Saccharomyces cerevisiae S288C: one gene and its partners. The gene in region 3 interacts genetically with the main gene of each other region. Each region holds a gene or a part of one and is shown on either strand. Other genes may lie near its edges.

Region 1 (6,321 bases), on a different chromosome or scaffold from region 3:
TTAGTCTGTAGAAAAACTTGAGTTGCTGCACTTCCTCTTCACCCGAACATGGCTGTTCTAGTTTGTTGTCGTGCAACTCTCTAATGGTGATGACTTATTGATGTGGCTTTGATTTTTTCTTGCCCGTGTAACGCGACCGCGCCAGCTGTAAACGTCACTAAATAATACCATTAATTGGTCATTTGCTTATATGTTATATAAATGCTTTCTCTATCAAAACTTTGATTATATGACTGCCGAACTTTAAGGGTGAAGTAACAAGTACAGACCAAATAGAAAAGATAAGATTCCCATCGACGGCATTAAGGAGGATGATGAATTTTCGTATCCCCCAATAGTTGTAATATTTCCCGGGGTGATTGTTGGGAAAATCTCAACGCTGGTAACACCCGTGGATAAAGCTAAACTTGTCGTACTAGATAAATAAGAAATGGTGCTCGTTAATGTTGCAGTACTTGTCGGCATTTCACTATTATTGATGATGCTCATATTAGTTACTAAAATATCTTCATACGCGTAAATTTTCGGTTTCGGAATCTCTTCAAATACCTCGTCTGCCCCGACTTTCTTCTGTATGCTGTCTTCCATAATTTCATGTAGAATACTTTCAATTTGAGAAAACTTTTTGTGCTCCACTATTGTTAGAGGATCTTCCAACAGAAAATCTATAACAGATTTGGAAGCAAGGACCGTATCGGTATGTTCTTGAGAATCAACAGCTCGCGGCTCCTCCGGTAAATCTGCTAATACTAAGTATGGATTAAACTCCATTTGATTTAGCAGAGCTGGTGGTAATGAGTTTTTATCCAAATGGAAAACTAAAGGACCAGGTTCATTTTGTCCTGTTTCATCTTCTTCATACTCATCTGATGTAAAAGTAATTGAGTATTTGGTAGCAAACACTTGTGCCATAAAAAAGGCGAAGAAAAGGGAGGATAGATATAATCCTAACATTTCAATAAGGATCAAAAAAGAGAATGGGATACAAAACTTTACTTTCCTTCCTTTCGTGCTAGTTACTGGCTTGGTGTTGTTCTTTAGTTATGTGTAGCAATGTTAGCTGCTGGTTTTTTGTCTTGGATAACTACAAATACTTTCAGGAAAAGAATAATTTATACATTATACAAAAGCGGCCTCTTTTATAAACAAAGGGCAAATGACAGTTAGCAAGACATATCATGGTTGCCATGGGACACAAAAACGTAGCCACAAAAAAAAAAAAAAAGGTGAAAGGAAGCGAGCATTAATTTTTTATTTTAATATGTAACTGTGATATGTATTAACAAAGTATCTTTCATAATTTTTGACGAATATTTTTACTTCTTTTTTACTATTGAAGGTTGGGCTGTGATTCATCGCGCAGAAAACAAGGACCTCATTTGAAAATTTCCTTGAATTGCTTAACAATGCTATTTTTGATGGCAGTTGGAGATGTCTTCCATTCTGTTGGCAATGACTTCCAGTCGATTTCTCCCATGATTTCCTTAATTTGAACTTTTTTTTCACCTGCCTTTGTTTTGAGGGCGTCCAGTAATTTCTTCACATTTTGATCAATATCAAGCTCTGAAGACACTGGCAATTGGTCCATATATTTCTTTATAATGTCCATTTCACCTTGCTCTTTGGCCACCAGATCGTCCCTCTTGTTAGCAAGGAACTCATTGATCGAGTCCTTTCTTTGAGATATTAACTTGGAGTACATGTCGTACAGGGAGTACTCATCAGCGCTCTTCCCTTTTAAAGCAATTTCTTTGTTTTTTATGGCAGATAACATATTTCTGATTGCTGTCTTCTTCATCTCATCCTTGGCAATCATAGCCTTTTTCAAATCTCCTTTCAATAGGCTGACTGCAGCCGTGTAGGCTGGAGAACTGTTATAACGAATGAAGGTTAGTCTATTTGAAACAAGTGGCCTAATTGATTGTCTGAACATCTTGGAATAGTGTTATTTGCTGTATTCCCCAACTTTATCCCAAAGTCTTTTTTCTCCAGTTCATTACTTCTGTAAAAAATGTTGCAGATCCTTTTTCTTCCCTTTAATTTTGAGTCCTTCCCCCCGAAAAGTCCCAGATGCCGGGTAGATGTGATTTATATCATTTATCGTTTATAGAGTATAAATTGGGTGATGCTACACTAAGTACGTATGCTCTTCTGAACTAGACTTAGTTTGCCCGATTAGTCTTTCTCACTCTCTTTCTCGAGGTAGTTGGTCCAAAGCGATACAAAGCTTTCCGTTCTCGATACAGCGCTTGAATTCTTAGACTCATTATTCGAGATCAAGCCGGCCTGTTGTTTCTTATCTTCATCCCAGTTTAAGAAATTGGACAGTAATTCAAGAACTTCAAACTTTCTTGGGTCTGCTCTGGGTATGGACACGAAAGATATCAATAGATTGGATATCAGTTCTTTATCAACGGATTCAGAATCGCTTGATTTCTTCAACATGGCCAGTGCCTTTGTTAAATGCTCATTTAGTATAATGGCTTCGTGACGTAGTTTTCCGATCTGTAAGATGTGCTGCTTAGATTCTTCCTCATATTTTTCCTTCATAGAGGCGTCCTCCTTCATGGCTTCTAGCTGTTTTTTCATGCTTTCTAAAGCTTCTGTGTCATTGTTGTGCGTTTCTATCTCCGTGTCAAGTTGGGATCGTAAAGATTTGACTTCCTGGTCTCTCTCTCTAGCCTCTTCTTCCCTTTTGTTGTCAACTTCTTCTATCTTCAATTCCAGATCATTTAGAGAATTCTTTAATACTGCTTTCTCCTTTTCATGGGATTCCAAAGCCTGTCTCAATTCATCTCTTTCTGTTCTCAAGTCAGATATATCTTGTTTATTATTTTCTAAGATTATCATGAGTTCCTGAACTTGGAGATTTAATTGATCTTTTTCCTTCCTGTAAGTGTTAAGTTCCTTACTATGTTTTTCAATTATGTCGTGTTTTTCATCTTCCAAAGCTTCTATCCTTGATTCGTATTCCAAAAAAACCTCTTCTGTACTTTCTTGCTCCTTTTCTAGGTTTTCTAACTCTGTATTTAGGGTCACAATCGTGGATTGTAATTCAGAGTTTTCGGTCTTGGTAGCTTCAAGTTTCTTCTTCAATTTCAGATTTTGTGATTCATATTCAGTAAGCTGCTCCTGCACTTCCTCTAATTGTTTTTGTGCTTCTTTCATCTTATTAAAAATTGATTTCATAGAAGATATCTTGCTCAATAATGTGTCATACTGTGTTTTGAATTCGTCTCTTTCCTTAATAACATTTGCTAGTTCATTTTTGAAGTCTTCATTAGGCGTTTCTTGATCCTTCTTGTGGCTTAGTTCCAATTTTAAACGTTCAATTTCTTCCCTTAGTTCCTTCATCTCATCACCAGCCTTTTTGTCCTCTAAAGGATTTATGGTGTCTACAGTCAGGCCGTCATTTACTTTTTGTTTGTCTACTCCTTCAGAGAGATCTTTCCCCTCATCGTCCGGGCTTGCCACGATACCATCAGCCTCTGGATCTGTGGACATTTTTGGAGGAACGGTGACGTTTACAGAATTGATGATTTCTTCAGGTTTATTGACGGTTTCATCAACGTCCTCCACATGAGGATGACTCTTGGCCTTCTTACCTGTTTTCTTCTTATTTTTACCCATTCTAATTAAAAAAAATGCAATTGTTTGAGGGGATCAAGTGGAAAGTATACACAAGCATCTACTATATAGCTGTTTATACAAGATTTTCTTGTTCTTCATGAATGGTCTTTCTGTTTGTTTCCATTTTTCGTATCGAAATGAGCACGAAATTCAAAAAGAAGTACTGAAAAAAAAATCAACATGAGAAGGAACAGCCGATCTCTCAGCGAAAACAGTGGCTTCGTTGAATACGCTGCTTGATCCTTACACAATAAGGAATTGGGTATCTCGCAGTTAATTTTATAACTTCAAGTCACTTCATAATAAACTAAGCTGAAGAAAATGGTCAATATTTCTGATTTCTTTGGTAAAAATAAGAAATCCGTAAGATCGTCAACATCCAGACCTACGAGACAGGTGGGTTCGTCTAAACCAGAAGTTATCGACTTAGATACTGAATCTGACCAAGAATCAACCAATAAAACACCAAAGAAGATGCCTGTAAGTAATGTAATTGATGTATCAGAGACACCTGAAGGAGAAAAAAAGCTACCTCTTCCCGCTAAGAGGAAGGCCTCTTCACCAACTGTAAAGCCAGCAAGTTCAAAAAAAACCAAACCCTCCTCTAAAAGTTCAGACTCGGCTTCGAATATTACGGCTCAAGATGTACTAGATAAGATTCCATCCTTGGATCTGTCAAATGTTCATGTGAAAGAGAATGCTAAATTTGATTTCAAAAGCGCAAATTCAAATGCGGATCCAGATGAAATTGTTTCTGAAATAGGTAGTTTTCCAGAAGGAAAGCCAAATTGTTTATTAGGTCTAACAATTGTCTTCACAGGTGTTCTGCCAACCTTGGAGCGTGGTGCATCGGAAGCTTTAGCGAAAAGATACGGAGCAAGGGTTACTAAATCAATTTCAAGCAAAACTTCTGTAGTAGTCTTAGGTGATGAAGCAGGGCCAAAGAAACTAGAAAAAATCAAGCAATTGAAAATCAAAGCCATAGACGAAGAAGGCTTTAAGCAATTAATTGCTGGGATGCCTGCTGAAGGTGGTGACGGGGAAGCTGCCGAAAAAGCACGTCGAAAATTAGAAGAACAGCATAATATTGCTACCAAAGAAGCAGAATTGCTTGTTAAGAAAGAAGAGGAAAGGTCGAAGAAGCTTGCAGCCACTAGAGTTTCTGGTGGCCATCTGGAGAGAGACAATGTGGTTAGGGAAGAAGATAAATTGTGGACAGTAAAGTACGCACCAACGAATCTACAACAGGTCTGTGGTAACAAAGGAAGTGTAATGAAATTAAAAAACTGGTTGGCTAATTGGGAAAATTCAAAGAAAAATAGTTTTAAACATGCTGGTAAAGATGGCTCTGGTGTTTTCAGGGCTGCAATGTTATACGGTCCTCCTGGTATTGGGAAGACAACTGCTGCTCATTTAGTTGCACAAGAGCTTGGGTATGACATTCTTGAACAAAACGCTTCTGATGTTCGCTCTAAAACTTTACTTAATGCCGGTGTTAAAAACGCTCTTGATAACATGTCTGTAGTGGGATATTTCAAACACAACGAAGAAGCTCAAAATTTGAACGGGAAACATTTTGTCATTATCATGGATGAAGTTGATGGTATGAGCGGAGGCGATAGGGGGGGAGTTGGCCAGCTGGCACAGTTTTGTCGTAAGACGTCAACTCCATTGATTCTAATTTGTAATGAACGTAATTTACCAAAAATGAGACCATTCGATAGAGTATGTCTTGATATCCAATTTAGAAGACCTGATGCTAACAGTATCAAATCAAGATTAATGACAATTGCGATCAGAGAAAAGTTCAAACTTGATCCAAATGTCATTGATAGGTTGATACAGACTACAAGAGGTGATATCCGCCAGGTTATTAATCTACTTTCAACGATATCTACGACTACTAAAACCATAAACCATGAAAATATCAACGAGATCTCAAAGGCATGGGAAAAGAATATTGCCCTAAAACCCTTTGACATTGCCCATAAAATGTTGGATGGACAAATATACTCAGACATAGGTTCAAGGAACTTTACACTGAATGATAAGATCGCATTATATTTTGATGACTTTGATTTCACACCCCTAATGATTCAGGAAAACTATTTATCTACAAGACCAAGCGTTTTGAAACCCGGCCAGTCACATTTGGAAGCAGTTGCTGAGGCGGCTAACTGTATTTCATTAGGTGATATTGTCGAAAAGAAGATTCGTAGTAGTGAGCAATTATGGAGTCTTTTGCCTTTGCATGCTGTTCTTTCATCTGTTTATCCAGCATCAAAAGTTGCCGGCCATATGGCGGGAAGAATCAATTTCACAGCTTGGTTGGGCCAAAATTCTAAATCTGCCAAATATTATAGGTTACTGCAAGAGATACATTATCATACAAGACTAGGTACATCTACTGATAAAATTGGACTAAGGCTGGATTACCTACCAACTTTTAGAAAAAGATTATTGGACCCATTTTTGAAGCAAGGTGCTGATGCAATTTCATCTGTCATAGAGGTAATGGACGATTACTATTTGACCAAAGAAGACTGGGATTCTATTATGGAGTTTTTCGTAGGTCCTGATGTGACCACAGCCATTATCAAAAAGATACCAGCTACGGTTAAAAGTGGATTCACGCGGAAATACAACAGTATGACACATCCAGTCGCAATTTACAGAACAGGTAGTACTATT
Region 2 (5,641 bases), on a different chromosome or scaffold from region 3:
ATAAGTATACATACATATATATATATATATATTTATACAGCTACATTGTTTTCCTCCAAAATTTTCTGTTGGTTATGAATCGCAAAAGAAGTTTTCAGATTGTGTCCTCTGTTACTATTTCGTTAAGAAAGGAAGATATCGTCTACGGCTGGTGTGACGTAAGTATTGCGTTGTGCTCTAAAAATGAATCAAATCTGGTCTACAGGTCCCCCAAATTTTTACTTCAACTCTGAATGGAAAGAAAATAAGAGAAATGACAGGACAATTGAAGACTCTTTAAGAGAACTAGATGGGTTGATCCATTCCTTGGAGAGAACTCATATTGAAGTACAAACAAACCCAAAGCTAAAGAACGATGTCACAGCTTTAAATGATATTAACAAGAAAGAAAATAAAGAAGAGATCACTCATGAAAACTATACACACCAGATTAATAGTATTCCATTGACAAGCTCAAATTTAAATCGGCATTTCTCCTTTTCTAGAGACTACAACCAATCTGATAATAGCAATAATAATTATTACAGGGAATATTTATCCAAACCAAGGTATTTGCAGCAGTCAACTAAAGAACAAACTTTCAATGAAATTAATAAAAGAAAAAGTGCTGCAATTATTCCCCCTTGGTTAAATATTCCAGAAAACTCAAGATTTTTTGTAATAAAGTCCTCGTCTTTGAAGCATGTCAAAAGGTCGTTTTACAACGGAATTTGGTCGTCTACTCATTTCGGCAACAAAAGGCTATCTGAGGCATATAAAAAGCTTAATTCGGGAGCCAAAGTGTTTTTATTTTTTTCAATCAACACATCAGGAAGATTCTGTGGCGTTGCAGAAATGGTATCGGATTTGAAAATGGATTTGGACACCAGTATATGGGAAGATGAACAAAAATATGGCAAAGCCTTTAAAGTAAGATGGGTGATCGTGCGTGATATAAATAACAGATCGTTAAAAAGGTTTTTGATACCATCCAATGAAATGAAACCGATAACACATTCCAGAGATACTCAAGAAATTCCATATTCGATTGGAATTTCAATAATTAATCTATTTAAAACTCAAGATTCTGATATTTTCTCCTTCTTGGATGAGACGTATGAATAGACCTTATCCCTCATTTATCAACATTTTATTCTCATTTATTATTAGTATTATTATTATTTTTAATATTATTTTTATTTAAAATTATCCTAAAATTACTTCTACTGTTATAACATCCAATCCATAAGAAGCAAAAACAAAGTTTTCATATTAAGCCATCGTAAAGGTTTAAGGCACCAATAATAGAGGGATCGACTTTAGAACCTTCTCTGAATTCGTCCAGCGTAATGTAACCATCTTCGTTCTTATCCATCAACTTGAAGATCTTCTTTACCCTCATTTCGGGCGTTGCCTCATCCTCATTAAGTGTAACCATAGACCCCATCATTTTATAAACACTCGCCACAATGGTTAGCATTTCATCAAATGTAATATATCCATCATGGTTCAAATCATAAAGTTCGAAAGCCCAGCTCAGTTTTTCCTCCAAAGTTCCTCTGGACGTTGTACTCAAAACTGTGATAAACTCTTCAAAATGTATGAATCCATTGTTGTCTTTATCAAAAACTGTAAAAAGGTGATTAGCAAAATCTTCAGGAGAACCAAATGGAAAAAACTGTTTGTATATCTTAACAAAATCTTCCCTAGCTAGTTGGCCACTAGGGCAATCCCTCAAAAATCCTTTATGCCATTGCTGGATTTCTCTTCTATCAAAATAGGTGGATTGTTTCAAACATGTCAGGTCATCTTTGGAAAGCTTTGACGTCTTGGCTCCCATTTTTTTTTTGAATCAAAAACAGTTTTCAAGCACAAAATAACTCTCGCCGATTCTTAAACTAGCAACAATTATAAAACAGGAGGTAATATCCCTAGTTCATCAGTTCAATCGTTGACAAATTAAACATTATTTCAGTACTCTATGGTATAATAATAAAAAATACACCGAAGAGTTACCCTTTTTTCGTTTTTAATGATCAATTCTGGCTCATTTTTTTACTTCCTGAGCAGTCAACTACTACTGAAAAAAAGAGGCTAATGGGTACGCATTTACCTAAAAACAATTAGATCCCTGCCTTGGATCGTAATCTTGTTTATCTATCCTTTTTGGACATTGACATCTATTTGTGTCGCAGTTAATTGCTTTCTGGGTACGTTGACTTTTTCAGTTCTATATCGGCCCGTTGCTTACTCTGTTCAACTCACTTATTCTTTTGTTTCGGTTTGGGCTGCTGCATTTATAGATTAAAAATAAATTTCAAATTTCCACGCTAACAAATAGAGCTAAATTAGCAGTTTCATTGTTGGCTATATTTTCATTACAACTTTTGATCTGATAACGTAAAAGAATTCAAACAAAAACTATCTAAAAAAATACAAAGCAAAAATCATGTCTACTTTACAACGTCGTAGAGTCAATAGGGCGGATTCTGGAGATACTTCCTCCATTCATTCTTCTGCTAACAATACCAAAGGAGACAAAATCGCAAATATTGCTGTTGACGGGGATGATGACAATGGAACAAACAAAAAGATTGCATATGACCCAGAAGAATCGAAATTGAGAGACAACATCAATATCCCTACGTTAACGTTGATGGAAGAAGTCTTATTGATGGGCTTAAGAGATAGAGAAGGATATTTGTCGTTTTGGAATGATAGTATTTCATATGCTTTGCGTGGTTGTATAATTATAGAATTAGCGTTAAGAGGTAAAATCAGAATCTTAGATGATTCCGCCAGGAAAAGGTTCGATCTTTCCGAAAGGTTGATTGAAGTTATTGACAGTTCCAAAACTGGGGAAGTTTTACTGGATGAAACTTTGCAATTGATGAAAAACGACGAACCTTTGTCAATTTCTAACTGGATTGATCTTTTAAGTGGTGAAACATGGAACCTTTTAAAGATCAACTATCAATTGAAACAAGTAAGGGAAAGATTGGCAAAAGGTTTGGTCGATAAAGGTGTATTGAGAACAGAAATGAAAAATTTCTTTTTGTTTGACATGGCGACACACCCCATTGCAGACGCCAGCTGCAAAGAAGCCATTAAGCGCAGAGTACTTTCTGTACTCGTATCGAGGAACATGGAATTAAGTTACAATGAATATTTTCCGGAGACAACATCTTTCAAAATCATTAGAACTTTAGCTTTAATATGTGGATCATATGGGGCAAACGTATTGGAGAATGTCCTGACTACGTTGGAATATGAGAAGAGAGATAAGGCAATTAGTAGAGCTGAAGAAATAATGGCACAATTTTCGCAATACCCATTTGATTTAGAAAAGGAAACTGAGTTAGGTGTCTCCGTTAATTTAAACAAGGAAGTTAAAGAAGAGATAGAAAACAATCCTGGTCATGATTTACAATTGGAAGTTATTGCTGGTGTATTTGAAGTCTTTTCAAGAATGGATATGCTATTATGAAAATAACAACAAAAATCCTCTCTTTGAAACATAAGGAAAAGTCAAGCTTTTTTTTATAAGCCTCTAACATTAATAAACGAAATTTGTATATATGTATATACATATACGGAGTGGATAATAAATAGACCAAACTTTTTGTTATTATATACGCCCACATTCGTATTCATTGCTTTCTTGAATCCAAATGCTTTAAATATGGAGATAAAAATCCGCCATCGCCATATTTATTCAAGTAATATTTTTTAACTCTCACATCTTGAAATATTGATGGTTTTGATGACACATTAAAGTGCAAGCCTTCATTAAATGCGTTTATCAACGACCTTGACTCATTTGCATAAGCTTCACCACATGACTCCCACCAAAAGCCTCCGCCTAAATTGTTATGTGTCACATATTCAGCCTTAGTTTTGACTGATTTAGTGTTATCATAACTGATAAATATTGAATTTTTTTCATCAAAGCAATATGCTGAAACATATTTTGGATCGTATTGTTCTATTGTACCAATCTTTGGTAAATTTTTGTAAGGCCAGATGCCCTCCTTGCCATCAGCTTTATCTATTTCTTTAGTGGGCTTGCCCACTCCTTTGAAAATTTTGTTAATTAATACAGTATTTTGATTGAATGGTTCGAATTTGTTATCTTTGATATGGAAACTTCTTCCGTAGGCGGCCATTCCCAGTACTAATTTTCTAGAATTGACGCCAAATCTATCGATCATATAATGCATGGCAAAGTTTCCATTCAATTCCGTCTCACTGAATAGATTGCTGTGATATCCTGTTGTTTCTGACCACGAGCCATAATAATCGTACGTCATCATATTCCAGTAGTCAACATATTGATCAATTTCTGTGATTGGCAAGTAAAATAATTTATCCTTGAATGCAGGTGCCGCAATAGATAATTGAAAATGATCTTCAGTACGTTTCCCAAATATTTGGGATTCGAGGCTGTTTAGTTTTAATCGCAGCATTCTGACCAGTTTCAGATATCCGCGAGGTTCTGATTCATTGTTACCAGGGAACTCCCAGTCTAGATCAATGCCATCAAATCCTAATCTGAACATTGTTTCCACCGACGAATCAACAAAATTTTGTAAGAGTTTATCATCTTTAATTATGATTTTGAAATTTTCACTATCAGACCAGCCCCCAATTGACATGATAACTTTAAATTTCTTATCAGAACAGGTATTCTTCAAATAAAATAGTTCACCAATGCAACCTAAGGGTAGGATGTTTTGGACACTATTGTTCGAGCTTTCTTTAATTAGTTCTGAATTTTTAATTGCCAGCGATTTATACAAATTCATTTCTAGATCAGACCAACTATCCGTGTTTTCTATACCACCAGTTCTAGAGTTTATTTTGAAAAATGCATAGTAAATGTGAGACACTTGCTTCAAGTTTATGTCGTGAGGGAAATGAAACCTCGGTTTGTATGGGGACCAATTGGAATAATAGACCCCTGATATAAAGGCTTCGTCTCTTATATGGGTTCCATGATTTTGGACATTACTGGGAACTCGATGTCCGCCATTGTTAAAGTTGTCTCTAATATCATCCGACCTTTGGTTCTTAAAAATTTTATTATATAAACACATTTCAATAATAATCGTTATAAAGATAAGTAGTATTAGTAGGTGAGACACTAAGCTGCTTTTTGATCTGTGCTGAGCTGAGTGTCCTACCATATGATCACTCTTGTATCGTCTACTTATAGAGGTTGTTAGTACCAACCTGCAAATACAATTGTTGGACCATACTACCACAAAAGGTTCTTTTCGTTGGTGTATCCTCACAAATAATGATTATTCCACCAAAATCACCAAATTATTGTGTCAAACTAACTGGGATTACCCCACTATTGATTTTTCCAGTTTTTCCGCAATTTTCGCAGCATGTTTTACTTTTATAATGGCATTGTTGCATTACAGCGCCAGTTGTAGGTATCGATGATTTTATGTCAAAGTTTTCTTTCTAGCCAAACTCAGTTATGTCAACTGAACAAGATGCTGTTCTTGGATTGGCCAAAGATTTAGAAGGTATAAATTTGCTTACTGTGCCCAATCTCGAGAGAGGACACCAAAGTAAATTATGCAAAGAGAAAACTACTTCTGATTCATCTTCGTCAAGGAAGCCTTCACAACAGAGAGACAATTATAGAAAG
Region 3 (5,592 bases):
AGTTCAACCAGTATTCCTCAAACTCTGAACTAGATTTTGGAACTTTATCTTCATAGCCAGGTTTAATATCCAATGTCCTATTTTCAAAATCGACCGTGACGGATGTTAAAAATTCCGCAGAGGTCATTCTGTTTGGTTTAACCCAACCCATTCTTTGGAAATATCCAACAGCTTTATCAGCAGGACCGAAGTAAATCTGTCTACCGTTATATAGAACAGTAGTTTTATCAAATAATTCATAAATATTTTCACCAGCTTGGTAAATAGCAACAATAGCAGAGTTGTTTACCATATTTGTAGCCGTTCTAATGGCTTGGGCAAACTCTAAAGCAGTAGAGGCATCCAAACCTCTTGTGGCGTTATCCCAAGAGTAGATGGAGGCATTCATTGCCTGAGCTTCAACCAAGGAAACACGCTTACGTTCACCACCAGAAACACCTCTTACGAAATCGTTACCGACTTTGGTGGCATATGTGTGTCTTAAACCAAAAACGGTACACCACATATCTCTGATGTTATCAACGTATTGCTTTCTCGTCATTTTGTCAATTCTAACACGAGGAGTCTTACATTTTAGGGCAAAATCGATTGTTTCCTTCACAGTAATTTTTGGGAAATGGAAATCAAGCTCGGGACAGTAAATAACGTAACCTTTATACTTAGACATCATTTCGCTTTGGTCCAGACCATCATAGGAGAATTCACCTTGTACATCAACTAATTCTGAAGTTTCACCAGATAGACACTTTAGGAAAGTGGAGCAACCTGCACCTGGCCTACCGACGACAAATAACATTTCACCAGATTCAACGACACCCGTACAATTTTGAATAATATTCCTTAATGGGACATCAGATTTCTTGGTAAATTTACTTATGAGATGTGCCGGTATACTAGCAATATTTCTAAACATCTCTTCAACACTAGGCCCATATGCAGCAGAGGCATCAACACCGACTGCTGTTAGGTTTTTAAAGGCAATACCAGAATCACCAGGTTCAATTCCCTGTTCCAATTGACGAGACCTCAAATAATGTAATAGTGAGCGCAAATCAAAATCTAAGTCATTAATTTCAAAAGAGTCCATTTCCTTCTTTGTCTTATGTGAAATGACTCTCGCCATAGACTCCAACCTTTCAATACCTTCTTCATTGGAAAGAATGTTTGAAAGGTGACGGGATAGCTGAGAAGTGGCTGCCAAATCCTCATTATCAACTTGGCCTTCGGAGGCAGCGTAGGATTGTACCGAATTAGCATAATCATCGTCATGGTTCGATCTCGACGAAATGTCTTTCTCAATATGTTCGTCAGTCGAAGACATTTTTTTATTAATAAGAACAATAACAATAAATCTGTAAACCTTTTTTTTAAGTGAAAATTAGTAACTGGGAAAACAGAGAGAAAAAAAGCAGAAGAATATATTGATTGAAGAATAAAACTGTTTAACGTTCCCGTTTATTTTTCAGATTATCCTATTGTTATACTATTATCGTTCTTAGTCTTTTCTTTATATGATAAAGAGAACCCCAAAAAGAGAACTACCTTGTACCATGGTTGTTAATAAAATTGGATTTGTTGATATATTTATATGATTAACATTTCATTCAGGATAGAATTGCCTAAAAGGTAAGAAATAATCATAAGAACCGTCGAGAAAATGTGATACCGAATCCCTGCGGTGGACGTGGCTAAAGAATAGTGAAGAAAAACCGGCTGTAGTGTATGTTTTGTATGAGCCATAGCCGAAAGATCGAAAAAGTAGCAGATCCCAAACACTTTACGGAAAAAAATCGAGAAATTCCGGCGAATCGGCTCTTAACGGATGCAGGGTGTCAGTCTGATGAGCCATAAAAAGAAAGATGCACCATTGCCAAGCTGCCCTGAGGAAGGGTTTTGGTTACCCTGTGAGATGGATGCGGTAAAATGACCAAGGGACCGGTTGGTAAGGGACCAGGTTAGGAACCGTGAGCGGCGAAAAAAGCGCGCATTTGCACAATTATATTATTAACAGGTGCCTGAATTTTAAGAACCGTCCACCATCACAGGTGAAACAAATCAACAGAGTCCTGCCGGCTGGTAAACAATCCATCTTTGGTTTAGAGGCCACTATCGTCAGAATAATATAAGGTCTATTTTCGGCGCGAAAGTCCTGATGAGGTAAATCGTAGTCAGGCGCCTGAAAGTCTAAACTAAACAATTGAAAGCCGAAACCGAAACGCGGAAAAGTAAATGGCACTCTTCGAGCGGCTACTAGTCGAGTAATTACATTTCTAAATTAGTCTGTGCAATAGGGAAAAGAGAACATTCTTACTCCGTTGCGATGTTTCTGAGCATAAGGCGCGCGCAAAAGCACGCACGCATTGACCGGAGCGGCGCCCACACACGGTTGTTATCCTAGTTTTTGTTGTGAGGAAGTGTTCATATTCTTTTAGGTTATATTTATATATATATATATAAAAGTTGAATGTAAAATGCAAAACAAAGATATCGTAGTATAGAGGGTAATATCACAGTAATAAAACAGGCCTGGTTTGAAGAATGATTATGTTGATGCTGGAGGTCGTAAATTGTAACATGAAATAGGGAGCATGCGAAAAAAAAAAATGACGAGCAAAAAAAGCAAGGTAGACAGGCGTGCCAAGCGGAGTAGTATGTCGTAAGAAGCGAGCAAATAGTACTCCTTGTCTTGCAAAGTAGCGAAGTACAAGACTGGTCTTCAGGCTGCTAGAGATTTGTATCAATTTTGTATTTTTTTTTCATCCCATGCAATTTTCCTTCCCATTTCTTTTGCTTTTTTTGCCGCGAATTGAAATATAAAGTCTGATATGAATTGTTGGAGTCATACCATTCTCTTACGAGCTGTTATTTCCCAGTGAGTACTTAGAAGAATCATTCTTTTCTAAATCGTAAACATCACTTTTCCTTGAAGATTTTAGTAACACTATGTTTGTATTGGAATCTTTCCTCAATCGTTTCTGCTGCCTTGCCAGCAAAGTGGCACTGGCAGTATCACTGGTACTTTTACTCAACTTTAGTCTTAAGCCTAATGAATTTAGAATTGTGACAAATCTTACTTTTATAGCATTAAGTTTCCAATTTTTGGTTAGATTACTGAAATTCTTGGAACACAACCAGCAATAGAACGTGAATTCACCATATAGGATAAAGAAGCCAAAAATAAATCCGGTAACGACGCAGGATAAGATGTGGTTTTCTAGTGCTTTCATCAATTTTGCATCATCTAAATGCCATGAAGAGCCTTTAGTAATGGAGAAAAATGAATAACTATGCATCTTGTAGTAAGCAGGTTGTAGGATTCTTACTGTCCCGTTCTTAGGTATGCGCCATCTTTTGTACTGCTTCCAAATAACACTTAAAAACAACGGACCAGTAGACCCCATAATAGTCATGTAAGGGATAAACCAGTACTTGTCATAGTGTTTCAAAGACTTTAAAGCCTTTAAAAAGAAGGGATGTCTAGGCACAGAACCCATGACATCGTTTGAGACACCTAAAGGTGAAGTCTTTCTTAAGAAGGCCGGGAAAGCTAACAAAGGATCTAGTTTCCTTTCGCAGCCGTCATCTAAATCGATGTATACACCACCATAATGGGACAGGATAAAGTAACGAATGGCATCGGCACGTTCTATGGGGTATTTGTAGTTCTCAAAAGTATCGAGAAACCACGGGTATTCTTCCTTTATAAACTCATAGGCCATCTCGTCCGTCCATAGGATGTACTTGTAATCTGGATGTAGATCGAGACATTTTTGTCTACCCTCTTTCCAGTGCTCAGGGATGTCTTCCGTTTTATAAGTCTGATGTATGATTTTAGGTATTAGTTGAGGCTTTGGAGGTGCATCTGGATTTAAGTCTTCCTCAAGTATAGCATCTTTAACAGTATCGTCAATACACAACGTTAGCAAATCGAAAGTGTAGTATATTATAGATAACAGGAGGAGTATGTTGAAGCAGATAAGGTATTTTAATTCTTTTCTCATCGTGAGTGCAACAGCGGAAAATCAGAAAAATAGAGTAAAGCAAATATGCGAAAATGAAAAGTGTCTTCCGATTTATTGTTTGTTTGTATGTGTTTATTTGAATCCGATGATGAATATTACAACAGGTTAAAGAAAACAAAACATGCGAAGCAAAATATGACGGGAATGTTGGCACCTTTTATTTAACTATATTAGAAAAGAAAAAGCAGAAAACGTAAAATATCTGCGTAAGCCTCCTCCCTGTGTCTTCACTCCTCTAACCATTTTTTCCAAGTAGAAAAGTTTATATATAACAAGAGGGGAAAAAAATGTGGAAATTGGCAGTGGACGTGAGAACAAAAAAGCACCGCTGAAAGGCTTGGCCAAGGAAGTTTAGAAAGGCGATAATAACGAGGTAAGAAGAAAGAAAAAAAAAGAAAAAGATGGCTTAGCAAAAGATTGGTTTTTATCCCGGGGGAGTTGTTGTGGCCGGGAGCAAGAGAAGAGACGCAGCAAGCGTGGGTCAATGATAATGACGCAGCGCGACGCGACGCGACGCGAATTCAAAAGTGTGAGTTTGCTCGGGGATAGTAATAATGCGGGGGGGAAGACGAAACAGACCGTGTGTGGTGTGGGTGGGATTTCGTGGGAGCACGTGGCGAGCAGAGGAAGAGCCTCACACAATGCTGCGTTCTTCATAAAGGGGATCAAAGCAAATAGATAATCGATTCCAAAGACAGATGGCTGACACGCACTTTCACAGTTTCGCAGTTTTTTCTTTTTTCGTAGTCGCTTTCCTAGTCGCTTTCCTGGCTCTTTACCTAATCGGGCTTAACCTAGCAGTACCTTTTCTCGATTCATGAAATCAAAACGCTAGTCACTTCCTTATAATTTCCTTTTTCAATTTCCGCCGCTTGCGTTTACGTAGTTTATCTATTTATAGGTACGGTATACCCTACTGCATTAATAACAATGAGTCCAGCTTTTCTTGGGTCAGTTGAATATTTAATGCATGCTTGTCGCACTGGTTATTTAGGAGCCGCAATTCTAGCTCATTAGAATTGATTTTTAGGTTTAGTTCTTCCAAAGCGGAATCGATGGAATCGCTCTCTTTGAAAACTTCCCTCGCCTTTTCACATTCACTTTCGGTGTTGTTTGTCTTTTTCACATTTTTATCAAAATCTGTCAAGTAAATAAAGGGGGAATCTTTCATATCTAGTATTCTTTTCTTCTTGACGACGCTGCTGCTAGAGCCGTCGCTGTTACTTCTATTTTCTGGTACGTGTACTGGGTAACCCTTTGCATAATAGCCATTCGATGGGGGAGGCGGTGGTGTCTCACGGTGGTGGTAATTATTGTAAGTATGGCTGCTGGAATATGGATAAGCACTGCTGTGATATGATCTATTGTTGGTTATAGACGATACTGAAGGTGGTGGCGGAAGCCCGTTGCTGGTGCTGCTAGTGCTGCTGTTCCCACTACTACCATTTCTGCTGCTGGTGCTGCCAACGCTCATCGGTTGTTGGCGTGGATGATCTGCCTGCATGTTCCGGTATCTGGACTTGACTCTTTTTTCGTCATTATCTTCTTGCGAGGCGCTCGTGGTCCTGCC

Evidence for each region. A genetic interaction does not mean that the proteins touch.
Region 1: mutations in SUR1 (region 3) and RUD3 together harm fitness more than expected from each alone (negative genetic interaction), as found in Saccharomyces cerevisiae (6 studies listed by BioGRID, with this or other methods).
Region 2: mutations in SUR1 (region 3) and VPS74 together harm fitness more than expected from each alone (negative genetic interaction), as found in Saccharomyces cerevisiae (5 studies listed by BioGRID, with this or other methods).

The regions. Positions count from the first base shown.
Region 1 is NC_001147.6:745,350-751,670, forward strand, and holds RUD3 (Rud3p), read right to left. Parts: upstream 3,631-6,321; coding exon 2,176-3,630; downstream 1-2,175. Other genes in the region: SPR2 (Spr2p), read right to left, coding at 244-954; AIM41 (Aim41p), read right to left, coding at 1,376-1,933; RFC1 (replication factor C subunit 1), read left to right, coding at 3,952-6,321. UniProt on the Saccharomyces cerevisiae protein: Involved in the structural organization of the cis-Golgi and in vesicle targeting/fusion stages of ER to Golgi transport.
Region 2 is NC_001136.10:1,218,937-1,224,577, reverse strand, and holds VPS74 (Vps74p), read left to right. Parts: upstream 1-2,428; coding exon 2,429-3,466; downstream 3,467-5,641. Other genes in the region: PHO92 (mRNA-binding phosphate metabolism regulator), read left to right, coding at 184-1,104; FRQ1 (frequenin), read right to left, coding at 1,247-1,819; CTS2 (putative chitinase), read right to left, coding at 3,630-5,165; DXO1 (Dxo1p), read left to right, coding at 5,468-5,641.
Region 3 is NC_001148.4:449,057-454,648, forward strand, and holds SUR1 (mannosylinositol phosphorylceramide synthase catalytic subunit SUR1), read right to left. Parts: upstream 4,002-5,592; coding exon 2,853-4,001; downstream 1-2,852. Other genes in the region: ATP-binding cassette multidrug transporter PDR12, read right to left, coding at 1-1,321; LCL1 (Lcl1p), read right to left, coding at 4,374-4,679; LGE1 (Lge1p), read right to left, coding at 4,936-5,592. UniProt on the Saccharomyces cerevisiae protein: Involved in the synthesis of mannosyl phosphorylinositol ceramide. Catalyzes the addition of mannosyl to phosphorylinositol ceramide. Suppressor of RVS161 mutation.